3 linked regions of the Rattus norvegicus genome follow. The protein of the gene in region 2 binds, or shares a complex with, the protein of the main gene of each other region. Links are inferred from orthologs where the notes say so. Each region holds a gene or a part of one and is shown on either strand. Other genes may lie near its edges.

Region 1 (4,704 bases), on a different chromosome or scaffold from region 2:
TGTCTGTAACTCCAGTCCTAAGAGACCAGATACGCTCCTCTGGCATCCTCAGGCCCCAGGTACACGCATGATGCACATACATAGCAGGTAAAACATTCACATTCACATTCACATTCACACACACACACACACACACACACACACACACACACACACACACACACCCAAGCGTTTTTAAATGATTTAAAAAAAAAAAAGATAATTAAAAAGTGTACAAGGGCAACAGGAAGAGCTTTCTTAAGAAGCAAGAGGCACTTACAGACTCTACCAGACACTCAGTACAGGAAAACATGGCACCCACAATGGCAAAATTTTTGGCATAGGACATTCCTCTCTGTCCCATGTCCTTCAGGACTTCTCTTGCAGTTGGTGTCCGGTAAGGGTCCTTGGGGTCAAAGCCCACGTTGGTATCAATGCCAGCAGTAAAGACACCAAATGCGCCTCCCAAGACAAATCCTAGAGGTAAGCAGAGATAAGAGTTCTTTTGCACATTCTCTAGTTTACCATTTGGGGATGGTAACTGAAGATGGCCTTTCTGGTCTCTTGGCACTCGGTCCTGATCCGGCTTTCCTCACAGTACAGTCGGAGTCTACCCCCACAACTCCTCTAGGATTTATGCCTTTCAGCTTTAACCCTGTTCTTCAGCTACCAACGTTGTATATGACCTGTAACAACACTCATACAGTCACTCAGTAAGGAAGCATCATGTCCCCGCTACTCTGGAATATTCCTTATTTTTCATAGTAACTTGTGAGGTAGATGTTACTATCTCCCCTTCCTGGCTTTTCTGTTTGAGGGCCTCACTACATAATCCCGCTGGCCTCGAACCTGACACTGTAGAACAGGCAAGCTCCAACTCCAGAGGTTCATTTGCCTTTGCTTCCCAAGAGCTTGGATTAAAGGTTCTGAAACCACCATCCACCCTGCCTCTCTAAACCAAACCCTGGAGAGGTTAAGTAACTGTCTTCAGAGTCACATGAATATTAAACATGGAATCCTATGTTTCTGTCAACAAATGCCTTGTCTGAGCCTTCTTTTGTCTGTGAGTGTAGGCCAGAGTGGGTGCCATTCCTCAGGAATTACCCACCAATTTCTTTTTGTTGTTGTTGTTTGTTTGTTTGTTTTCTAAGACAGGGTCTCTCTGTGTAACAGCCCTGGCTATCCTGCCTCTTCCTCTCCAGTGCTGGGCTTAAAGGCCCCATAGCCTCACCCAGCCATACCTGGCTTTTTTACATAGATGCTGGGTTCTGAACTCAGACCTTCATGTTTGCATGATAAGCACTTTACCAACTGGGCTTTCTCCCCAGCCATTTCTGTATGATGTCTTTTCAAGATGATCACCTCAAGATCAATGTAAGCTCAATGAAGCTAGACCCCTCCTCTCCTGGTCTTGCTTTCTAATCACTTCAGCTCCAAAACTCTATCTCTTCTTTCTACTTATTTGTTTGTTTTGATTTTTTAAATATTTATTTATTTATTTATTTTATGTATATGAGTACACTGTAGCAGACACACCAGAAGAGGGCATCAGATCCCATTACAGATGGTTGTGAGACACCCTGTGGTTGCTGGGAGTTGAACTCAGACCTTTGGAAGAGCAGTCCATACTCTTAACCACTGAGTCATCTCTCCAGCCTGGTTGTTTTGGTTTTTGAATTAGTTTCTCAGGGCTGGAGAGATGGCTCAGTGGTTAAGAGCACTGACTGTTCTTCCAGAGGTCCTGAGTTCAATTCCCAGCAACCACATGGTGGCTCACTACCATCTATAATGAGATCTGATGCCCTCTTCTGGTGTGTCTGAAGACAACTACAGTGTATCCATATACATCAAATAAATAAGTCTTAAAAAAAAAAAAAAGAATCAGTTTCTCTATTATGTAGCCCTGACTTTCCTGGAATTCACTCTATAGACTAGGCTGACCTGGAACTCTTGAGATCTGACTGCCTCTTCCTCCCCACTATTTAAGATTTGAACTCCTGTATTTTTAAAATGTTCTTCATTCTTAACGAAATTTAAACTCATCTACAAATAAACAACCTTTTTACCTGTACACTATAAGTATGCTGTACATTCTCAAACCCTGGAAGATTAATATGTGTATGTGTGTGTGTGTGTGTGTGTGTGTGTGTGTGTGTGTGTGTGTTGTTAACATCCATCCCAGCCTCACCCCGACTAATCACACTGGCCTTCGCTGTTTTTTGTTTTTGTTTTTGTTTTTGTTTTTTTTTAATTCTGAGACAGGGTGTCTCTATGTAGTCCTCCCTGTCTGTCTGTCTCTGCCCACCACCACCACTCCCAGTGCTGGGGTTAAAGGCTTGGGCCACCATCACCCAGTAATAATTTCCAAACTCCAAACTCCTGCCTTGAGGACCTTTGCATTTGCAACTCTACAGCATTCTTCTCTTTGCGTCCTAATATTCTCCTTCAGGGCTCCTGTCGCTTTCATCCATATTCCTTCTGCCGGGCACCTGACCGTTACATAGTAACAACTTAATGAATGAACGAACGAACGAACGAACGAACGAACGAACGAATAAAACGAAGAAAAGAAAGCAACAATTTAGGAACCTGCAGACCCTGACTGTGAATGTTAATCTCAGGGTCAAGAGCGGCATCTCCGGGTTCAAGGAGTCAGCCAGCCCGGGAGCGATCAAGGTCGAGATGCACAGGTTCCTCGCCTCCCAGGCGCGTGGTCTTAGCAAGGAACCTTAAAGTTCTCCAAGCCCTCAGCCTCCCAAGGGTCCCACAAGCCTCGCCTCACCTCCCACACAGGCCAGCACAGCCTTGAAGGCGCAACTTTCCATCGCCCTCTCGATCATCTTCTGCTCCTCGCTCTTGGCAGGACTCGGGATCCCGCCCAGACTGCCAGGCTCCAGAAGCCGTGGCTGACGCTTGTCGCCCACCAGGTGCTGAAGAAGAAGGCTGTACTGCAACGGAGCTTCGGCGGAACCCGCCGCCTCAGGAGCTGAAGCCCCAGCCTTGGCGGCCGCCATGACTGTACGGGCTCTAGTACCTTTCACGTCGTATTTCCCACAGCCGATTCCACATGCTAACCGAGGAGTCCGGCCAGCCTAACGACAACGGCAGATTCGCCACACTGAGGAAGCTGTAGAAGCAAGAGTCAGCCTTTGCATCAGCGTCGAGGAAGCTATCACGTTTCCTCAACGCCTCTTTAAACAGTGAACCAAGTTTGTAAGGCATTGCTAAAAACTCTGACAAGGTTTAGTAGCTCAAGAACACCCCTCAACTAGGGGCTCCATTGCGGTGCGTGCCGGGATTTGTAGTTCTAATTCGAATGTCCAACTGTATTTCCCAGAAAGCCGTGCGCACTCGCTGGCTTTGCTACTTCCTTTGAAAGCTCGTCTGAGAAGCGGCCGAAGAGAAGTCGGATCCTGTTAGGCTGCAGTTCGTCGAACTTGCAGCAGGGGACGCACGTGTCCGCTTTGTTGCCAGGCCATAAAGCAGAGCTCCAGCTACTACAGTCACTAGAACCACAGACTGGTTTACATTCTGAGATCGAATGTACGCCCTTTGTATGAAAGTGTTGAAACATGACATAAATGTGTTCAAAAAGCATTTTATTACATATTTATTAAGCCTTTAAGGAAGAATAAAGAAGGCCAACAAATGTGAGTGGTGGTCTAGCACGCCTTAAAGCCCAGACAGGCAGATCTCTTGAGTTTGAAGCCAGCCTACTAGTCTACAGAGTGAGTTCCAGGGCAGCTGGGGCTCCACAGAGAAACCATTAAGGAGAGAGAGAGAGAGAGAGAGAGAGAGAGAGAGAGAGAGAGAGAGAGAGAGAGAGAGAGAGAGAGAGAGAGAGAGAGAAGAGAAGAGAAGAGAAGAGGAGAGGAGAGGAGAGGAGAGAGAGAGAGAGAGAGAGAGAGACCAAGTACAGAGTATTGCATAGGGTACTAATGGCATACGACTATGGTAACAATGGAAGATGTCAAACCCCATGGCTGGTAGTTGCCGGGTGTGGTGGTGCACTTGGAGAGATCTGCCTGCCTCCAGAGTGTTGGGATCGAAGGCGTGTGCCACTACACCAGGCAACTTGGAATCGTTAATGCTTTGTGGTTTTTAGTGTTAGAGAGCTAAGTTTGAACTTTTTGAAACTCATTTCTTTCTAGATGCCATCCTTGTTTGTTTGTTTGTTTGTTTGTTTGTTTGAAGCAGGGGTTCCCTGTGTAGCCCTGGCTTCTTGGGGAACTCACTCTGTAGACCGGGCTGGCCTCAAACTCAGAGGTCTGCCTTGCTTTGCCTCTGAGTGCTGGGATCAAAGGCGTTGATCACCAACCATCCTATTTCTAGATGCCATTCTTGTACCTCAGTCAATGGCCAAGTGTTAGAAAATGTTGCTCCTATTACATCTTCTTTTTGATCCTGGCCTTAGTAGTGGATCTGTGATTTCCTCATTGAGAAGAAAAGATTTTCTGGGCTGCTCAGTGACAGATCCTCAGATTCTAGCCTGTTTCTGGTGAGTGGTCCAATATTCCTGGATCACATTTCCTATATGCCAACATTGCCGGAGAGTTGTTTTTTGTTTTGTTTTGTTTTTTTTTTTTTTTTTTTTCCGGGGCTGGGGACCGAACCCAGGACCTTGCGCTTCCTAGTCAAGCGCTCTACCACTGAGCCAAATCCCCAACCCCTGTTTTTTTTATGTATGTGTGTGCACACACATGGGTGTGCAAGCGTGGGTGTCTG
Region 2 (4,376 bases):
TGAAACCATCCAGGCTGGTACAAAAAATAAATAAATAAATAAAATCCCAAAGACCATGTAATTATTGACCTCTCTCCATCTGACCCTAATCACTTATTCAAGAGGTCTTTAATAGACAACATCTACTCTGTGTTAAGGGCTAGGGCACGGAAGAGTAAGTACCACTCTCAAATGCTCATGAATCTTAGCATCCCTGACTGCAATACGGCCATACAAGCAAAGTTGCAACACAGTAAGATGCATGCTGGGAAATGAGGACAGGATCTACCTTGAGTCCAGAAAAATGGGCCTAACTGGGATGGACCTGAAGGAGCCAGAGAGAGTCAGGGAATTCTCAGAATCCTGCAGATTAGGAGAAGTCACAGCGTAAAGGAGTTAGGTATATGCTATGGCCTCAACAACTGTTTCCAAAACTTGAAAGTGACTGCCCTAATTCCTACTGAAATGGTATTAGGATGTAAAAGTAATGGGGTCGGAAGGATATTGTCCTCATGAATGGGATTAGCACCCCTCTGAGAAGAGACACCAGCATCCAGCTCCATCAGCAGACACAGCAATGAAATAGCCATTTGCAAACTAGGAAGAGTGCACAATACTCTGTGCCAACCATCTTGGGTTCATACTTCCAGTTTGCAGGCTGTGAGAAATAATTTTTTGTTATTTAAGCCACTCCAATTACAGCAACCTGAACTAAGAACCACACAAAGTCTCTGTGTGTGTGTGTGTGTGTGTGTGTGTGTGTGTGTGTGTGTTTTCCAGGTAGGCAGTAAACGGAAGAAGTAACTTCTCTTCCCACCCATTACTAAGAATCTTATTTTAAAAAAGACATATTAACAAGGAAAAAGCACATACATCTATTTGGTGTGAGTTTTCATGACACAGAACTTTCAGAACTAAATCTGTGTGTGTGGTCAATGTGCTAAAGAACAGAAAGTTCTACATAAACATGACTGAACATGGTGCTAAGACTTAAAGACCAGCAAGGTTTGTTTGCTCGGGTTCTTCTGTGTCCCTTCACCTTAAGAAATAAAAGTACTATTTCCTGCATGCATATACAGGCCCCTCTAACGTGAGAGCTTAGTCTGCTTCCGGTTAGAACAGCAACAACTTCCTGCTCCTACTGTTTCCTCAACTGCCAATGTACTACTTGGGAATAACTATGCCCACCAATAGACTATACATACAAGATAGGATCTAGAACAGTGGTTCTCAGCCCTGGTGTCCTTATTAAACCTTATTTAAAGTGCAAAAAAAAAATTGTTGTAAATGTATATTCTTGGGCATTATCTCCCTTCCCCCAAAGCCTACATTGTTCTTGAACTGAGTAGTCATTTTATTTTTAGCTAGCAGTTACTACCATGATTGCAACAGAGGTTGCAAACATACCAGACATTAAAAAAAAAAAACAGTAGTTTAAAGATGAACAATGGGGTCAGAGGAAAGTAGAGATTTGAAAAGGCTTTTAATCCACACTAAGGGCTTTAGATAGTATGTTGAAGACAATAAAAAACAAAAAAAAACAAAAAACGAGATTTATTTTTTAGCAGATGAATAACATATAAAACATCCCGTCAGAACCAGAACATAAAGCTAAAAAGAGCCATTAGAGGGGTGGCTGCCATAAATTCTAGACAAGAGTCAACAAAAGATGTGGAGGTCTTTATAAAACAGAAATGGGCAGCGCTTGGTGACCAACTGATTACAAGAGGTGAAGGATGAGGAAACAAGCCAAGTTTTGTGCTTGGGCAACGGATTGTTAGGTGATCTCCAGGTTTTGGATTTATACTGTTGGTTTGTGGGAAAACACAGTGTGCAGTCAAGGAGACTCGAGACTGTTATACCTGCCGGGCACACTCCGAGACTGTTATACCTGCCGGGCACACTCAAATGAAGCCCAAACAGATGTCTGGACTTAGCGTTTTGGAAATAGGAGAAGTTGAACCCAAGGGATAGAATTGGGATTCGTGCCTGTGAGGTAATGTATGAGAGTTGTTAGCATCACGTAAACGGAAAGCAGCAGGGAAAGAATACTGCTAAGCACACTCCCAGTCGACTATTTTTTTAAAAAGCCACGCCCACCCCGTGCAACTCCCTTTTCATCTTAAATGATTCCTATATTACTAAAAGATGAGGGAAATATGCAGGCAGCCTAGAGTGCAAAGAGGACTGGTCCAGGTGCCTAACAAAACCCTAGCTTTGTCATTTACAGATGGTGAGACCCTGGATAAGTCAACTAACCTTTTCACTAGAGAAATAAGGAAACACCATCAATTTATGCAGTGAAGAGATTGTCAATAAAATCTGTACGTTTTTCTGTATTTCATAATATGTACTACATTCAGTGTATGTTCCCTTCTCAGTAGCCAGAATTTTCATTCTCATTAATGTCAGTAAAAAATCTCAATTTTATGTCTACATTAACGTATCTTTGCCTTCCAAGCGGGCTCTCCCAAAACCCATAAGCTCCCAAATTCTAACTTCTGACCCTCTCCTGACAAGGAAGGTAGGGCTTTTTCACTCAATGAGATCTCCTTGGGACAGGTTCTAGCCATTCACATCTGCAGAACCGAATAAATAGAATGAATGAACCGACCCGCTTTCTATGGTTCAAATATTGCTGGCCCCATTTTTGTTCCGGTACCCACAGCCTAAGGTGGGAAGGGAGGAACTGAGGGGTTCACAGTTAGGCACTGCTCTGAGACTCGAACCAGCACACCTGACTCACAGGGACCACGGGCGTGCGCGCCACGCCGGCCCGGCCCAATCTTTCCTCCTCCCGCCGCGCTGCGGTCAACAACCGCGTGGCCGATCCCGGGACCGCTGGCGGGTTCCGGCCCTGCTCAGCGTAGCAACCCACGGCTGCGCCCCATACCCTGACCACACACAGCCAGCGGCCCTCGCTCGCTCCCCTGAACTCACCGCTGCCCGCCGCTCAGCGTCCGGCCTTTCCTGTGTGCTCTCACAAAAATCTCCCTCTCTTTTAAAGGAAACCGCTCCCGCTGCCCTCGGGTTCCGACGCGGAACAGCCCCAGCCTGGCAGGGCGAGCTCTCCCGTGACCTAGGGGTGGGCTCGCAGCAGCCACCGCCCTCCCTTCCTTTTCTTGTCACTTTACTGTTCATTCAATCTTTCATCCATCCATCTCTCGCCAGCCAATTGTTTCTGGAAAGTTCACAGTATATAATAAGAACAGTTTTGCGATTTGGAACTAAATCAGAAAGTAATTAAACGGCTACGACAATTTTAGATATTGGTAAATGAAACAAAACAAAACCGAGCTATAGGGCATGTGGTGAGGGGCACTGTATGAAATTAACCAGCGGAAGTTTGAGCTCCCCAGAGCAGGAAGAAGATCAAGTCAGAATGCACTGAAAAGAAGGGTGGGGGTGGGGAAATCAGGCACAAAATCACAGAATTTTTAGGCCTGTTGCCGGAGGCAGAGAGAGCTATGGAAAAAGAGAGCCATGAAGCAGGAGAGGCCACAAGGTGTTGAACACTAGGGGGGGAGGGGGTGTCTTACTAAAATATAAAAATTGCTGGGCTGGAGATGAAGGGCGGGTGCAGGGAAGCTTCCTGCTTTTCCCGTACAAAGACTTTTTATCTTGCCACCTCTCACTGCCAGGGAGATGTCAACAAAACAAAACAGGTTTTGCTGCAAAGAGGACTGGTAAAGGTCTGTCTTGAAATGGAAACATTTGCTCAGTGGAAACATCTTCAAATGGGAGCTCGCCTGAGATGTCACGAGATCGGACCCATTAACTTTTGATCCCTAGGGGCCCACCTCTTCCACAATTAACGGTTACTGGAAGGGCTCCAGAAGGGCTAGGAGTGTTGAAGGGGACAAGAACTACTTCACTGGTATTGCCTCCTATGAGTTGTTCACGTTCCTGTAGGTAATCCCTCACTCATGCTGCCATATGTAACCCCAATCAAATTCATTGATTCCCAAATCTAGACTTTAGTGGAATCATTTCTTTGGGGGCTGTCCCTGTCACACTATCTGGAGAGAAAAGACATTTATTTGCTGCTGTCTCCCTAGGGAAACTGAACAGGAAATAAATTTATTCTGAGCCAAGTATGAAGGGCCATGGTTTCGGAACACGGATTCAAGTTATCCAGAATGACATGTTCCACCATGGAAGAGGTGAGTTGAACATGTATGAGTCAGAGAATAGAATACAGCCGTGAATCAATTTAAGATGTCGAGAAGGCAGGTTACAGCAAGGCAGAGTAATCTCCATCGTAGGTTTCAGACACCGTGTGATGGATAACCTTCTTAGATTTGGGCGGGTGGAAGTTTACAGCCATTCCTAAAGTTTGACCTAGTAGTCACGAAGACGAGTTAGGTAGAGAGCTTGGTATGAATGGCTATTCCAGG
Region 3 (4,656 bases), on a different chromosome or scaffold from region 2:
TAGAGGGCTGGAGAGACGGCTCAGCGGTTAGAGCACTGACTGCTCTTCCAGAGGTCCTGAGTTCAAATCCCAGCAACCACATGGTGGCTCACAGCCATCTGTAATGAGAGCTGATGCCTTCTTCTCCTGTGTCTCGTGTGTCTGAAGAAAGCTACAGTGTATATATTAAATAAATAAACCTAAAAAAAGAAAAGAAACTTTTCTTCAACCAGTTTGGAAGGTTCTTCCAATAAGAATCTTCTCTGAGTCATGTACAAGACTAGTTAAAGCAGAAGCACTTGCTGAATACTGGCTGTGTGCCAGCCATCATGCTAAGGGCTAATACAGACTCTGTTAGGCAACCCTCACAGTAGCCCAGTGGGGTAGGCACAATCATTATCCCCACTTTACAGATGAGGAAATTAAGACACAGCTCAGTAATTTGCTAAATATCACACAAAGCTAGGTAGTCTGACTGCACAGTCTGCATTTTAAAAACCATTCTAATTTATAGTCTCAAAAACAAACCAATCAATGAAAAGAGCTGCTGACAAAAACCAGCAGATACCTGCTGTTTCCTGTATGATATGCTAGATGATAAAGTATAATACTGTAATGTCTGTATGGCATAGCACCTCTTATGCCAGTTTTACTGATGAGATAAGCAATTATGAGACATTCAGCAGTGACTGGCATACCAGGATGCTTCCAAATTGGCCTAACAGCTACAAGCAGTAGTTGTGAAGTCAGCCTCAAGTTCTGGCCTGACATTGTTGCTGACCAGCTACAAAACCTGAGATTAGTAAACCCCTTAATACCTCAATTCCCCTATGTTAAAATGGTACTAATAAAATTAACCCACTGCTCTTCTTTCCTTCCTTCCTTCCTTCCTTCCTTCCTTCCTTCCTTCCTCTCTTTCTCTCTTTCTCTCTCTCTCTCTCTCTTTCTTTCTTTCTCTCTTTCTTTCTTTCTTTCTTTCTTTCATTCATTCATTCATTCAACTATTTGGCTTTGGCCTCCATCTCTGAGTATAGGCACCCACCATGCCGAGATCAAACCAAGGGCTTCCTACATTCTAGACAAACATCCTATGTTCCACCCCATTCTCCCTTTGAATTATTTTTAAGTATTTACAAAAATGACAATGGGGGTCTGGAAAGTAGTTAAGAGAACTTACTGTTTTGCAGAGGACCTGGGTTTGGTTCCCAGCACCCACATGGCAGCTCACAACTATCTTTGACTCCAGTTCCAGGAGATATGATGCCCTCTACTGGCCTCTGAGGGCATGTGATGCACATGTATATACACATGCAAGCAAAACATACATACATATAAAACAAATAAATTAAAAAAATTTAAAGTGGGGGTTGGGGATTTAGCTCAGTGGTAGAGCGCTTGCCTAGGAAGCACAAGGCCTTGGGTTCGGTCCCCAGCTCCGAAAAAAAGAACCAAAAAAAAAAAAAATTTTAAAGTGACAATGTATATAAAATGCTTTGCAAGTGCCTAACACAGAGATAAAGTTTAATAAGGATCAAGTGCACACACTTTTAATCCCAGCACCCAAGAGACAGAGACAGATCTCTGGGAGTGAGACCAACCTGCTCTATACAGATCAAGCCAACAACCAGGGCAACACGGAGACGCCCTATCTTGAAAAACAAGAACAAAAACGCTCACCCCACCTCTCCCCCAAAAAGGAAGAAAAAAATTAATAAGTACTAGCTACTAAATACTATTAACTACTAAATGACTGTTCAGATGGCTCAGGAGGCAAAGGCCCTTGCTGCCAAACCAGAAGATCTGAGTTCAATCCAAGATGGAATCCTAGTAAGTTGTCCTTTGACCTCCACATGTGAGCTGCTATAGCATGCATGTTGGCATTCATAAATAAACACAAAATACAGAAGCAAAGGTAATAAAATGGGCTATTAGAAAATAAAAGAGGGGTTGGAGATTTAGCTCAGTGGTAGAGCGCTTGCCTAGCAAGCACAAGGCCCTGGGTTCGGTCCCCAGCTCCAAAAAAAAGAAAAGAAAAGAAAAGAAAGAAAAGGCAGTGCTTACTTGTACTTGATACTCAGCAGAGCCTGAGCAGGAGACTTTCCTTCACACCCCTTTTACTCCCTCTAAATAGCCAACCAAGTCCTTCCAGTGACCTGTCTTTACTTCAGCCAAGCCCGCAGTAATGGTGGGACGGGATTAGGAGGTTGGGACTTGGCTCTACTACCTTAGGGAAAGCATTCCTTACAAGTCCTTCACTCTATCGCGGTAGGGGTGACGAGGGCTAGTTTTCTGGACAAGGTGAATCGGAGTGGTTCTCTTTACCTGTTGTACATGTCGGCCATCATCTCCACCTCCAGCTCCGCTGCCAGTTGCTGGGCTCTGAGCGGATCCATGTCAACTTAGCACCGTGGAGAAAATAGCCTCCTGGTCTTTAGTCCTGGGAGCGTACATGATAAGTCAGCACCGACCCCTCCACATTCACTCTAATACCCACCCAGGGGCTGGAGGGCGCGAGGGGTTACAGCGTTTCAGACCAGCAGGGACCAGTACCCTAAGAAAACGTAGTCAGCCCTCTTACCAGAAGTGGAAATGAGGCCCTTAAAGGGGACAGTGTCCAGTTCAAGGTCACTCAAGATGTCATGGGGCTCGGAGCTGGAAACCGAGAGCTCTCAGTATCTCGAAATCACTCCTAGCCAGAGGACCGACATTAGGGGCAGAGCACACAAAACCCTGGGCCTGAACCCACGCAGCCCCGAGAATGTGACCCTAACCACAACATAGGTTCCCAGGGCCGGTCTAAAGGCTGCGCCTCTGTCATGGCAATGGCATAATCAGGGTCAGCCTGGGGATCAGATACCATGGCTCACTCACCACGGCCTGGGGTAGGTCACAGCTCCCGCAACGCCCCCAACTTCGGGTCAATAGTAAAAAGTTAACCGGGTACCAAGATAGGCGAAATAAGAAGCACGTGGGTCACTTCCGGAAGGAAGTCTAACCTCTTCTTTGATCCGGAAGAAAACGCAAACCAGGCGGCTCTGGGAAACCGGCTACCATAGAGAGGAGCCACTGGCTGAAGAGAAACCTACTTCAATTTGCTAGAGTGGACTCCAAAGTATCATAGAGTGCGGAGTCAATGGCAGAGCGCCGACAGCCTTGTTAGCGTTCCATCCCTCTGGTTGTCCGGGAGACTTCTGAGTGTTTGGAGTGTGGAAAAGGCTTGGCTCCCTGAGCCTACCATGGAGAGCCCACGCCTGAGCGCAGACGGATCTTTTGTGAAGAAGGGAGAACGTTTCCCAAAGGAGCCTGTCAGTTTTGCATGTTAAAACCACCTGGAGCACTTTTTTAAAAACCTCAACGCCCAGACGTTACCTCATACTCGTGAAATCAGAGTCCCAGGGAGTAGGACCCAGACTTTAGTAAATGAACAAACTGCGTTAACTGGTGGGGTTGCAGAAAGAAGGATACAAAATCGCTGCTCGCAGAAAAAGGAAACATGTATAGAGGTCTTCTGTGCTTGCTTTTGAGATAGGGTCTCATGGAACCCAGGCTCTCTAATTTGCGGTGTAGCCGAAGATGACCTAGAACTTATTTCCTGCCTCAACCTCACTAGGGCTGCGGTTACAGATGAGCGCCGTTATGCCTGAACTTTGCAGTGCTGGGATGGAAGTAGGACCACATGCTACAGGCAAGCGCTCTACCAACTGCCCCAGCGCTGCAGCATGTTTTACTGCACTTCTTTATCATAGCCATACACATGCACAATAAATAAAAAAATAAATGTAACAATAAGAATTATTGGCTTTATCCTTCTCTTTTTCTTTCTTTCTTTCTTTCTTTTTTTTTTTTTTTTCTAGGCAAGCACTCTACCTAACTGAGCTAAATCCCCAACCCCTTGGCTTTATCTCCTTTTTTGGTTCTTTTTTTCGGCGCTGGGGACCGAACCCAGGGCCTTGCGGCTTTATCCTTTAAAACTATTTTTATTAGGGCAAATCTGCAACACACAGAGAACACAGTCTAATGAACTTCATTGGTGATTTGGTACAGTGTGAGATGATCTGGGCCAGAGAGTCATCAGTGAAAGCAAGGAGAAATGATGAGGAACACCAAGATTTAATATTTTTTTAAAGATTTATTTATTTATTATAAGTACACTGTTGCTGTCTTCAGATACATCAGAAGAGGGCATCAGATCCCATTACAGATGGTTGTGAGCCACCATGTGGTTGCTGGGATTTGAACTCAGGACCTCTGGAAGAGCAGTCAATACTCTCAACCACTGAGCCATCTCTCCAGCCCCAATTTAATAATTCTTGATATTTAGTCGCATTTTCTTGATCTATTCTTGTCTTTAGCAGATGAAGTCTTTTTTCCAAAGTGCTATTTTCACATTCTCAGCTAATAGTGATTTTTTTCATCTCTCTTCCACGGTGCTGAAGGAATTGTAAGCAAACACTCAATAACTGAACTATACAGTTCATTTGACATACTATTTTTAAATTTAAATTTATTTATAAGAACATGCACCCATGGTGGAATCGAAGGGCTTGTGGAGGTCAAAGGACAACTGGTAGAAGCTGATTCTCTCCTTCCATCATGGGAGTTCAGAGTAATCAAACCCAAGCTGTCAGGCTTGGGGGTAATCACCTATATCAGCAAGCCATCTCACCAGCCCACTTA

What was found.
Region 1: Agk (region 2) and Timm22 share a complex: the UniProt entries of both Homo sapiens proteins name them as parts of the TIM22 complex. The link is inferred for Rattus norvegicus from reciprocal best matches to the Homo sapiens genes AGK and TIMM22.
Region 3: the proteins of Agk (region 2) and Timm10 are in contact, whole or in part, in a cryo-EM structure (PDB 7CGP), measured with the Homo sapiens proteins. The link is inferred for Rattus norvegicus from reciprocal best matches to the Homo sapiens genes AGK and TIMM10. Residues at the interface, in NP_060708.1 of Homo sapiens: Phe49, Gly50, Asn51, Gln52, Leu53, Ile54, Pro55, Pro56, Val60, Ser91, Gly92, Met93, Asp94, Val95; in NP_036588.1 of Homo sapiens: Glu40, Glu42, Leu43, Ser44, Lys45, Gly46, Ser48, Arg53.

The regions. Positions count from the first base shown.
Region 1 is NC_086028.1:61,749,987-61,754,690, reverse strand, and holds the start of Timm22 (mitochondrial import inner membrane translocase subunit Tim22), read right to left. Parts: upstream 3,006-4,704; 5' UTR 2,994-3,005; coding exon 2,762-2,993; intron 457-2,761; coding exon 260-456; intron 1-259. UniProt on the Homo sapiens protein: Essential core component of the TIM22 complex, a complex that mediates the import and insertion of multi-pass transmembrane proteins into the mitochondrial inner membrane. In the TIM22 complex, it constitutes the voltage-activated and signal-gated channel.
Region 2 is NC_086022.1:70,080,249-70,084,624, reverse strand, and holds the start of Agk (acylglycerol kinase, mitochondrial), read right to left. Parts: upstream 2,969-4,376; 5' UTR 2,920-2,968; intron 2,913-2,919; exon of another isoform or gene 2,717-2,912; intron 291-2,716; exon of another isoform or gene 269-290; intron 1-268. UniProt on the Homo sapiens protein: Lipid kinase that can phosphorylate both monoacylglycerol and diacylglycerol to form lysophosphatidic acid (LPA) and phosphatidic acid (PA), respectively. Does not phosphorylate sphingosine. Phosphorylates ceramide.
Region 3 is NC_086021.1:90,313,420-90,318,075, reverse strand, and holds the start of Timm10 (mitochondrial import inner membrane translocase subunit Tim10), read right to left. Parts: upstream 2,938-4,656; 5' UTR 2,373-2,937; coding exon 2,302-2,372; intron 1-2,301.